Ovis aries: one gene and its partner. The protein of the gene in region 2 interacts with the protein of the main gene of each other region in a pairwise test. Links are inferred from orthologs where the notes say so. Each region holds a gene or a part of one and is shown on either strand. Other genes may lie near its edges.

Region 1 (4,814 bases), on a different chromosome or scaffold from region 2:
AAAGTATTTAGACTGCAGGCCATAGGTTGCCAATCTATAATGTAGATATTTAGGAGGTGGTTTGGAAACACTGGAATACTAGAGCTATGAGTATTATATTTATTCATAACTATATTTCTTCTTCCTTAATTAGGTATTCTTCTAAAATTTAGTTCAGATCTTAGCTAACTGAAAGGTTTTTTCCTGCAATTTCTTTGGGCAATTAAGTTAAAAGGACTAAGCCTAGTAAGAGTTTCTGTAAAAACTATGTGCACAAACAAATAAAAATGAAATTCTTACTTTGGAAAAAAAAAAAAAAGGACTAAGCCTAGTCATCTTGCCGGTGTAACTTATTGTGCCTTAAAATGAAAGATGTGCTCTGGCAATTAACACAGTATTAATTTTTGAAGGTGTATGTTTATGATACTCCAGAAATATTTCCTAAAGACTCCCAGAATGGCAACATTAAGCAATATATTTTTGCATCTGAAAATACCTTGATATACAAATACTTCAAGGAAGTTAATACAGAATGTGAAATATTTAAGTTTCTTTTAGGGGGAAAAAAACTTACGGAGCTCTTTTATATTTTGCGTTGTTTTAGCATATGCTGTGGAATTGGCGACCAGCAGAGCAGGTGTTTGACAAAATATGACAGTTGCTTCCTTTGCTCATTCTAATTTAATTCAGGTTATTTACATGTGAAAGGCCTAAATGCTTTCCTTTTCTTTTTTTAAAAAAATGGAAGATAAAGTTTTTTTTCCCCTCCTTGATGAGGATTATCAGAGTTAAGACTAAGTGTAATGTTTCTAAAACTGTTTTTTGCTTTAAAAAGAAAATTGCACGTTATCTCAATATGAAAGCAATCACATTTGGTAAATATTTGGCTAATGCAATTGAAATTTTTTATGTATTTCCATTTCTTTTTCTTTTTTTTTCAGTTTTATCTGAAAGTATAAATATATTTAGGGTTTTCACTCAGTGGCCATTAACGTTTCTTCCTGTCTCTTGTCGAATTGATGTAGGTCATAATGATTACGGTTATCAGCAACCGTCGTATCCTGAACAAGGCTACGATAGGCCTTATGAGGATTCCTCACAACATTACTACGAAGGAGGTATCTATATACCTTCACACACATACACATATATATCCCCTTCTACAGGAACAAAAATTCTTGCATAAGACAACTTCTACCCACGCAAAGCTCTTGTAGAATACTAGTTGCTGGCTGTCTTGAAAGTTCCAGGGAGCCTAGAACAATCAGAATAATTTTCTTACAAATATTTAAAATGTATAACCATGACTTGCCATTTCTAACAACCATAAAAAGACTAAAACATTTTAAAATAATTTTTTTCCTCAGTGGAAATTTTCTATTTGAACATAAATCCATCAATCCAATTTTTTTTTCTTGTTGTGTGTTCACATATGTATAATTTTACATATAAGTTTAGTGCCTCTAGGAAACAGCTTGCTGATCTTGTGTAGCTAGTGTGTGCTCTTGTAGCTGTCTTTAATTTTTGTCTTTTTTATTTTATTTAGCATAGTCATGATCTTATGACTGTGATGTTCCAGTAAATGTAATGCTCGTATGGCAGAGACGCTGAAAATGCTGCAGTTCAACCTTGCAAAATTGGCTTTAACTGCAGTTTGTTTGGCCGAAATCCTTCTGTTTGGTTTGAGTTTTTTCTTTGTTTTGTTAACTTTTAAAAATCAATATAGCATTTCATTTTGTTCTTGTGTTGTTGGCTATGCATCTTAGAGGAATAAAGTTAATTAAGCAAACTCCTCAGTATTTTCTTTTTGTCCTCTTCTCCAATTATCATGTAGGAAATACGCAGTATGGCCAACAGCAAGATGCCTACCAAGGACCACCTCCCCAGCAGGGCTACCCACCCCAGCAGCAGTACCCAGGGCAGCAAGGCTACCCAGGACAGCAGCAGGGCTACGGTAATCGCTTCTGGCAGTTTTAACTTAGTTCCTCCTGCAAAATGTGGAAGGGGATATTTAATTTTCATTTGAAAATTCACAGCTTTAGCTCAGTCTACTCGTGCAGTGTCTCTTTGAAAAGTTCTTAAAACTAGTAGTCTGTTTAAGAAAAAGCATAAACTGGAGATGGCTCATTGACCACAGGTAAGGTATAGAAAGTCATTTGAAATGAATTCATTAATTTATGAATTCCTAAACCTGTTTGACATTCATGACCAGCCAGTAGCTTTGCGTGTGCTTAGAAAACTGATGAGTTGGGTGATTACTAACAGTATCTACATAATCTGCTTGGCAAATTCATTTCCAAAACTAATGACTGTTACCATGAAAAGTAACATTGATGTTTTAGTGTACAAATGAGGTCCATTTGGAATGCCTAGAGAAAATGTTTTTGTCATGCCCTATTAAAATAGTTGTGTACACTTCCATAGGGGTATGTTTATTACAGGTATGTATCTTACAGAGTTTGGAGGAAGTATAGCCATCTTTTCTTATTGTATTCTCACTGTAGTATTTACTAGTTGGCTATCTGTTAGATAGGGAGTGGGGAATGATACAGACCTGATATCTCAGTCTGAATTATCTATGACTACTTGAGATACAGGAAAATATGGTTCCTATGATAGGAGATATAGCTGCTTAATTAGATATCATCTTTTGCTAACAGGGTCTCTTTGTTTACATCAATATGTCTAGATGACTGTGGCTCAGATCATGAGCTAGCTTCCTATTGCAAAATTCAGGCTTAAATTGAAGAAAGTAGGGGAAACCACCAGGCCATTCAGGTATGACCTCAATCAAATCCCTTATGATTATACAGTGGAGGTGACAAATAAATTCAAGGGATTAGATCTGGTAGACAGAGTATCTGAAGAGCTATGGATGGAGGTTTGTAATGTTGTACAAGAAGCCGTGACCAAAACCATCCCCAAGAAAAAGAAATGCAAAAAGGCAAAGTAGTTATCTGAAGAGGCTTTACAAACAGCTGAGGAAGGAAGAGAAGTGAAAGGCAAGGCAGAAAGGGAAACATATACTCAACTGAATGCAGAGTTCCAGAGAATAGCAAAGAGAGATTAGAAACCCTTAAATGAACTAGCAGAGAGATAAAGGAAAATAATTGAAGGGGAAAGACTAGAGTTCTCCTTGAGAAAATTGGCGCTAACGGGACATTTATGCAGGGATGCACATGATAGAGGACAGAAGTGGTAAGGACCTAACAGAAGCAGAAGAGACTAAGGAGAGGTAGCAAGAACACACAGAAGAATTAAACAAAAAGGTCTTAGTTACCCAGATAACTACGATGGTGTCGCTCACCTAGAGCCATCCTGGAGTGTGAAGTCAGGTGAGCCTGATAAAGCATTACTATGAACAAAGCTAGTGGAGGTGATGAAATTCCAGCTGAGCTATTTAAAATCTTAAAAGATGATGCTGTTAAAATGCTGCACTCAATATGTCAGCAACTTGGAAAAACTCAGCAGTAGCCACAGGACTAGAAAAGATCAATTTTCATTCCAGTGCCAAAGAATGTCCAAACTATCATATAATTGTGCTCATTTCACATTCTAGCAAGGATATGTGCAAAATCCTTCAAGCTAAGCTTCAGCAGTATGTGAACTGAGAACTTCCAGATGCACAAGATGGTTTTCAAAGAGGCAGAGGAAGCAGAGATCAAATTGCCACCCTTTGTTCGATCATGGAGAAAGCAAGAAAATCCCAGAAAATCATCTACTTCTGCTTCATTGACTATGCTGAAGCCTTCTGTGGATTGTAACACACTGTGGAAAATTCTTAAAAGAGATGAGAATGCCAGATCACCTTAGCTGTCTCCTGAGAAAACTGTATATGTGGGTCAAGAAGCAACAGTTAGAACCGGACATAGAATGACCTGTTCAGAATTGGGAAAAGAGTACATGAAGGCTGTATATTATCACTCTGCTTATTTAACTTATATGCAAAATGTAGGACTAGATGAATCACAAGCTGGAATCAAGATTGCCAGGAGAAATATCAACGACCTCAGATACACTGATGATACCACTCTAATGGCAGAAAGTGAAGAACTAAAAAGCTTCTTAATGAGGATGAAAGAGGAGAATGAAAAGTTGACTTGAAACTCAACATTAAAAAAAAAACTAAGATCATGGCATCTGGTCCCATCACTTCATGGCAAATAGAAGGGGAAAAGTAGCAGTGATGGATTTTATTTTCTTGGGCTCCAAAATCACTGTGAACGGTGACTGCAACCGTGAAATTAAAATATACTTGCTCCTTAGAAGGAAAGCTATGACAGACCTGGACAGTGTATTAAAAAAGCAGAGATACCACTTTGCCGACAAAGGTCCGTATAGTTGAAAATATCATTTTTCCAGTAGTTGTGTACAGATGTGAGAGTTGGACCATAAAGAAGGCTGAGCACCGAAAAATCGATGCTTTTGAACTGTGGTGCTGGAGATGACTCTTGAGAGTCCCTTGGACTGCAAAATCAAACCAGCCAATCCTAAAAAATCAACCCTGAATATTCATTGGAAGGACTGATGCTGAAGCTCCAATACTTTGGCCACCTGCTACTAAGAGCTGACTCATTAGACAAGACTCTGACGCTGGGAAAGATTGAAGGCAAAAGGAGAAGGGGGCAACAGAAGATTAGATTGTTAGATCCCATCACTGACTCAATGGACATGAATTTGAGCAAACTCTGGGAGATAGTAGAGGACAGAGGAACCTGGCATGCTGCAGTTTATGGGGTCACAAAGAGTTGGACCTAACTTAGTGACTAAACAACAACAACAACGTCTTACTCTTTTTATTCATTGATTTAAACTCTGCTGTTATTATGGGCACC
Region 2 (5,543 bases):
TGTGTATGAGAGAGAGGGGTCCAGGATGACCAAAGATTCTGGTCTGAGCAACAAAGGACAGAGAATCCTTTGATAGGATGGAGAAGGAGGGGAAGTAGGTTTAGATGAAAAAGTGCCCAGGTTTGGCAAACTGAGTTGGAAATGCCTGATAGAACTCCCTGTGGAGAAGCTGAATGACCACAGCGGCCTCTTTTGAGTTCATGGGATGTCTGGTCTGGAGATGTAAATTTGGGGACTGATGGCTCATGGATGGTATTTAAAGCCGTAAGACTGGATGAGATCATCAAGGAAGTGAGTAGAGACACGGGAGCAACACTACCTCCCCCAGCACCAAGAAAGGGTGACGAGGAGTAAACAGGCAGGGAAACGGAAGGAGCAGCAAGTGAAGGAGGAGAACTAGGAGAGCACAGTCTTGAACGCAGGGGAGAAATGTGATTTACATGGTAACCAAGATGGGAACTGAGAAACGAGCCTCCCACTGGAATGACAGTCTGCCCGAGGGCTGGGAATTCCTGCCTGCTTAGTTCACAGATACACCACAGCACCCAGCAAAGTGCCTCCCTTGCACTAATAAATTCTTTTTAATGACGAATGAACAAATGAGAACTGGCCTCTGAAAAAGACGGTGATGTGGGGAAGAGGGGACATTTGAGTTCACCTATATTACTCTTACCTACAGACCTTTCCTGCCTTGAGACCAAGGAGTCCAGAACCCCAGCCCCCTTCTCCCTGGACCTGGTATTACTGGCAGCGTCCTCCCACCCTCTACCAGCCCAGGGCCTTGAAGTCAAGGCCTCCAACATCCACTTGGACAAAGATTCAGAAATTCGGGTCCCCAGTTCCCTCCTCCTTCAGGAGTCCGCCACCCTCTCAGGGTGCCTCTGAGGCACCTTCTCCCTCAGACCAAAGATAGGGTTCCCAATTCCTCTTTCCCAGGAGACTTCGGAGTCGGGCCTTCAAAATGAGCTCCGCCCATTCAGACACCAGATTCGCTCAAGCGCACCGCGGGGACTCCCGGGCTTGTGGGCGGGGCCCTGCCCAGCACTGGGCGGGGCCAGACTCTCTGGTTTAAAAACTCGCGGGGAGACTCGGTCCAAGATCGGGGACCCGGCGGCGGCTCCGCGGGGAAGCAGCGACGCTGGCGCAGCGCCGAGGCCGGGGCCCTGGGGGCCCGCAATCAGCACCACGGAATCCCCGAGGTAACTGGGGGGCGGGGAGGTGAAGTACGCTCGGCCCCTAAGAGAGGGGCTGGGGAACGGACTCCTGAAGTTCGGAGGGACGGAGATGGACATCAGGAGTGAGGGGTCTAGCATCAAGCTGAGAGTGAGAACCCAATGTGTGCAGGGGGCAGAGGGTGCAGAGTCCTGGGTCGTGATGCAGGAGCGGCTGGGATTCTGGGCTCCGAGTCCGGAGAGCTAAAGGACTGGGGATCCGGAATCTTAGGTCCTGGGGGTGAAAGTGCTGGGAGGCCCCGAGCCCTGCCTGAGTCCTAGGAGGAGGGGCTGGCGACCCAGCCGCCATACTCGAGAAAGAGGCTGGATTGAGACCTTGGGGGCGTTTGAAATTGGCCAAGGTCTTGATAGGCAATGTCCAAGGCTTGGCTGCAGGGATGCTCTCTGCCCGTGATCCTGCCCCCCACCCTGGGATTTCCCGAGTTGCCGCCCGGCCCGGATCCCCGGGCTTAGCAGGAATTCCCCATGTGCGGGGATTCCACGAACGCCACGCTTGGCCACGCATCGTGTTTCGGAGCCGGACACCTGGTGTATGGGGTAGAGAGGAAGAGGGAGATGGAAGATTCCCTTGCGTGAGCGCCGTGACGTCAGCGCGTCGCGTCTGGGCTGTTTCCGAGTCCGCCCTCCCGCGCTTAACCCTTTTTCCGCCCGAACCGGGTGAGGGCCGAGGGCCCAGGCCTCTGGGGTCGCGTGAACAAGGAGTCTGGAAACTGGGAGCTGAGGGCCGGACTCCTGGGTCCTGGGGTAGCAGTTGAGAGTCTCCCAGACTCCTGTGGGGTGAGGCTTGGACTCCTGGGTGTGAAGAAGGGGGCAAGGTCCGAACTTTTGGATCCCTGAAGAGCCAGGGGACTGTTGAATTCGTGGTTCCTCAGGGAGAGGGGCTGTGGACTCGGATATCTGGTTTCCCAAGGAAAAGTATCAGGGCAGCTTCTAGGGCAGGGAGATTTGGGAACCTGGATGTGCGTCTCTGTGAAGGGAAGCCCGGCATCCCCCCGAATTCCTCAGGACTGGGAGATCTGGGGGTGGGGTGCCGTGGGATTTTTCACGGAAGTAGCGGTCAGAGGGAGGGGGGCTGCAGAGGGCGCTTTCCACCCCCTTCCTTAGTTTCCACGACGCTGGTGGAAAGTTGGGTCAGAGGGGAAAGTGCGGAGCAAAAGGAAGGAAACGGCGGAGGCGGCTGCGGCGCCTCACCCGAAATCGTAGATTGGCTTTGGAGTTCTCAGGCGACAGCAATGTGCCAGTTTTTTCCGCGCGGGAGGGCGAGGAGGATGTTCAGATCCACTCCCCCGCGCCTTTGGGTGACTTAAAGACCCCTGATAACTTCACTCCCTCCTCACCCCGCAGTGAGCCGGAATGAGCGCAGCCATTGCCCGTCACAGACGGTGAAGAAGCTGCTAGAAGAACAGAGGCGCCGCCAGCAGCAGCCAGACGCCGGTGGGCTACCGGTGAGCCCCAGGACGCCCTATAAACTACAACTCCCGTGAGGCCGTGTCCTGGTGGGCAAGGGCCCTCAGGGCTGAGGAGAGATGTAGTTCTGACTTAGATGCCCTGTAGGTGGGGAATGGGTGCCGCGGAGTCTGCTGGATAAATTCCCCCTTGTTTCTTTTTGTTTTGGCCTCTACAGGGACAGTTCCCACCTCCCCTGGCCCAGCCCCTGACTTCATCTGTGAATGAAGGTGAAGCTGGTAAGTCTAGAAACTCACTGGGTTCCCTCAGGGACTCAAACATCCCCGCTCTTAGAACTTTCTAGAACTTAGGCCCTTATTCTTGCTGAGACCTGGTAGAAGTTTTATCTCCCAGATTCTCTGAAGCTCAATAGTTTATGCAGGTAGTCCTGGGGCCCAGGCTCCCAGCCTGGAGTCTAGGCCCTCACTCACTCAGTGTTCAGGCATTTAGGCCCCCATAGTCCAAACCTCCAGCCCTTTGGTGCCCCAGAAGTACTAGCTTTCTGTATCCTGGGGACACTGGCCCCTCATACAGCTCCTGTCTGGGCTTCCGCTTCCCTGACTCTGGTAACCGGGCCTGCCCCTGCTCCTTCTCTCACACACAGGCCATACTCACTTCCCAGCACACCAGGAGACTGTGGGTTCTGGACTTGGCAGCCTGGCACCCCCCACTGGCTTTGTAGACTGGGACCCCAACACGCATGCTGCCTACACGGACAGCCTCTACTCTTATCCTGCTTCTGCTGCTGAAAGTTTTCTGACTCCTGACTTCTACTCACCCTCGGACCCAGGGCGGCCGTGTTCGTTTCCCCTGGGGATGGAGGTGAGACTGACAATGGGAACTGGATGCTGAAGGGTCCCTGAGATGCCCAGTTGCCCTTATTGCAGCACAGCATTCTGATATGTCTGGGTTAGGAACCCATTCCTCAGATGGGCAAAACTGAGGCCCAAAGGTCCAGGGTTACTGGCCGCAGATGGAACATCCAGCCACTCTGCCTAGCACTCTGTATGTATATGTATGTGGTGGAAAGGGAATTCTCAGCTGACTGGCTCTCCCCACCCTCTGTACCCTTCAGGACCCCCTGGACACTCGGCTCTATGCAGACCCTTCCCTGCCACAGGCAGGATCCTGGAGGGCTTCTGGGCTTCCCTCAGGACCTCCACAGTTGCCTCCTGTGGTCACTGGACCATCCCTGGACACTGCCCGTGCTCACATGCTGGCTCTAGGGCCCCAAAAGCTGCTGGCGCAGGATGAGGAGGGAGACACGTGAGTACAGGGGAGTGGAGTCTGTGGGCTCCCTGCTCAGCTGGGGTGCTGTGCTCATTGCTACCCCCAACCTGTCCCCAGGCTCCTGCACCTGTTTGCGGCGCGGGGTTTGCGCTGGGCAGCATACGCCGCAGCTGAGATGCTCCAAGCATACAGACATCTGGACATTCGTGAGCATAAGGGCAAGGTGAGGGCTGGAGGCTTGGTCTCCTGGATCTGAGGACAACAGGGCTGAGGGCCTGGGTCCCTGGTGTTCAGAGGGTAGAGGATGGGGGCCCCAGACTGACCTTTCCTGACACCTGCAGACCCCTCTTCTGGTGGCTGCTGCTGCCAACCAACCCCTGATTGTGGAGGATCTACTGAACCTGGGAGCGGAACCCAATGCCACTGACCATCGAGGACGTTCTGTCTTACACGTGGCCGCTACGTATGGGCTCCCAAGAGTCCTCTCGGTATGTCCGTTTGGCAGATGGGATGAGTGGGATGGGCTAGATTGCCTAGATCCTGACTTCCAGGGCTACATGGCCTGGAGAGACTCTAAGCCAGCTCTCTGCCTTCTCCTCCAGGCTGTCATTAACTCAGGGGTTCGAGTTGACATAGAAGCCAGAGACTTTGAGGGTAAGTTGAATGGTGGGCAGGGTGTTGTGGCAGGTGGGGCTGGGTCAGGGGAGTGCTCCAGATACAGAGTCCTCACTGTCTCTGCTCTGCAGGCCTCACCCCACTCCACACAGCCATCCTGGCCCTCAACGTGGCTATGCACCCACCTGACCTATATCCCCCAGTACTGAGTACCCAGGCCCAGGACAGGCTGGCTTGCGTCAAGATGTTGCTGCACATGGGTGCTGATCACACCAGCCAGGTGAGCTGGGCAGTGGACAGCTAGCCCCCAGGAGGGCATGTGGGATGGGAGCTCTTGAATGTCCAAGAAGGCTAAATAAATGCCGACTTGCCCCTTGTCAGTGGCGTGAACTTAAACATGCTACTTCACTTCTCTGTGTCCCAGTTGTCAACTGGGAATAATATTAATGATTTTAGCTTATATTTATCAAGCACTTAACTATTATTAAACACTGAGTTTCACCAATTAGCTAATTGAATCCTCACAAACATTCTTTGATGTGTGTGCTATTAGTGCCTTCTCCATTTTAATGATAATGAAACTGAGGCTCCAGGACTCAAAAATCTTGTACCTTGTAAGTGTCAGAGAGGGAATTCAAGCCCAGGTGGCCTGACCCTAGAATCCAGCTCTTAATATATATACTGTCCTCCTTCCTGACAGTAGCTCCTTCAAAGGCTGGCTGAAAGAATTACACATCCACTCATTGTTTTGGATTTTTTTTGTTTTAGTTAAAGAACTTTGAATGCAGATAAAGTACAGAAAATGATATTGATACAATAAACTCCACCTGTTGCTGTTGTTAAGTCGCTTTAGTCATGTCCAACTCTGTGTGACCCCATAGACAGCAGCCTACCAGGCTCCCCCGTCCCTGGGATTCTCCAGGCAAGAACACTGGAGTGGGTTGCCATTTCCTTCTCCAATGCGTGAAAGTGAAGTCGCTCAGTCGTGTCTGACTCTGCGACCCCATGGACTGCAGCCCA

The links. The genes of interacting proteins can lie anywhere in the genome.
Region 1: the proteins of NFKBID (region 2) and SS18 interact in a two-hybrid assay, tested with the Homo sapiens proteins (2 studies listed by BioGRID and IntAct). The two-hybrid records come from large-scale screens. The link is inferred for Ovis aries from reciprocal best matches to the Homo sapiens genes NFKBID and SS18.

The regions. Positions count from the first base shown.
Region 1 is NC_056076.1:31,101,508-31,106,321, forward strand, and holds part of SS18 (protein SSXT), read left to right. Parts: intron 1-1,004; coding exon 1,005-1,097; intron 1,098-1,813; coding exon 1,814-1,933; intron 1,934-4,814. UniProt on the Homo sapiens protein: Appears to function synergistically with RBM14 as a transcriptional coactivator. Isoform 1 and isoform 2 function in nuclear receptor coactivation. Isoform 1 and isoform 2 function in general transcriptional coactivation.
Region 2 is NC_056067.1:45,891,871-45,897,413, reverse strand, and holds the start of NFKBID (NF-kappa-B inhibitor delta), read left to right. Parts: upstream 1-1,866; 5' UTR 1,867-2,009; intron 2,010-2,576; 5' UTR 2,577-2,712; exon of another isoform or gene 2,713-2,728; intron 2,729-2,856; 5' UTR 2,857-2,902; coding exon 2,903-2,917; intron 2,918-3,753; coding exon 3,754-3,944; intron 3,945-4,025; coding exon 4,026-4,131; intron 4,132-4,249; coding exon 4,250-4,396; intron 4,397-4,510; coding exon 4,511-4,562; intron 4,563-4,654; coding exon 4,655-4,803; intron 4,804-5,543. UniProt on the Homo sapiens protein: Regulates the expression of IL-2, IL-6, and other cytokines through regulation on NF-kappa-B activity. Functions in the regulation of inflammatory responses.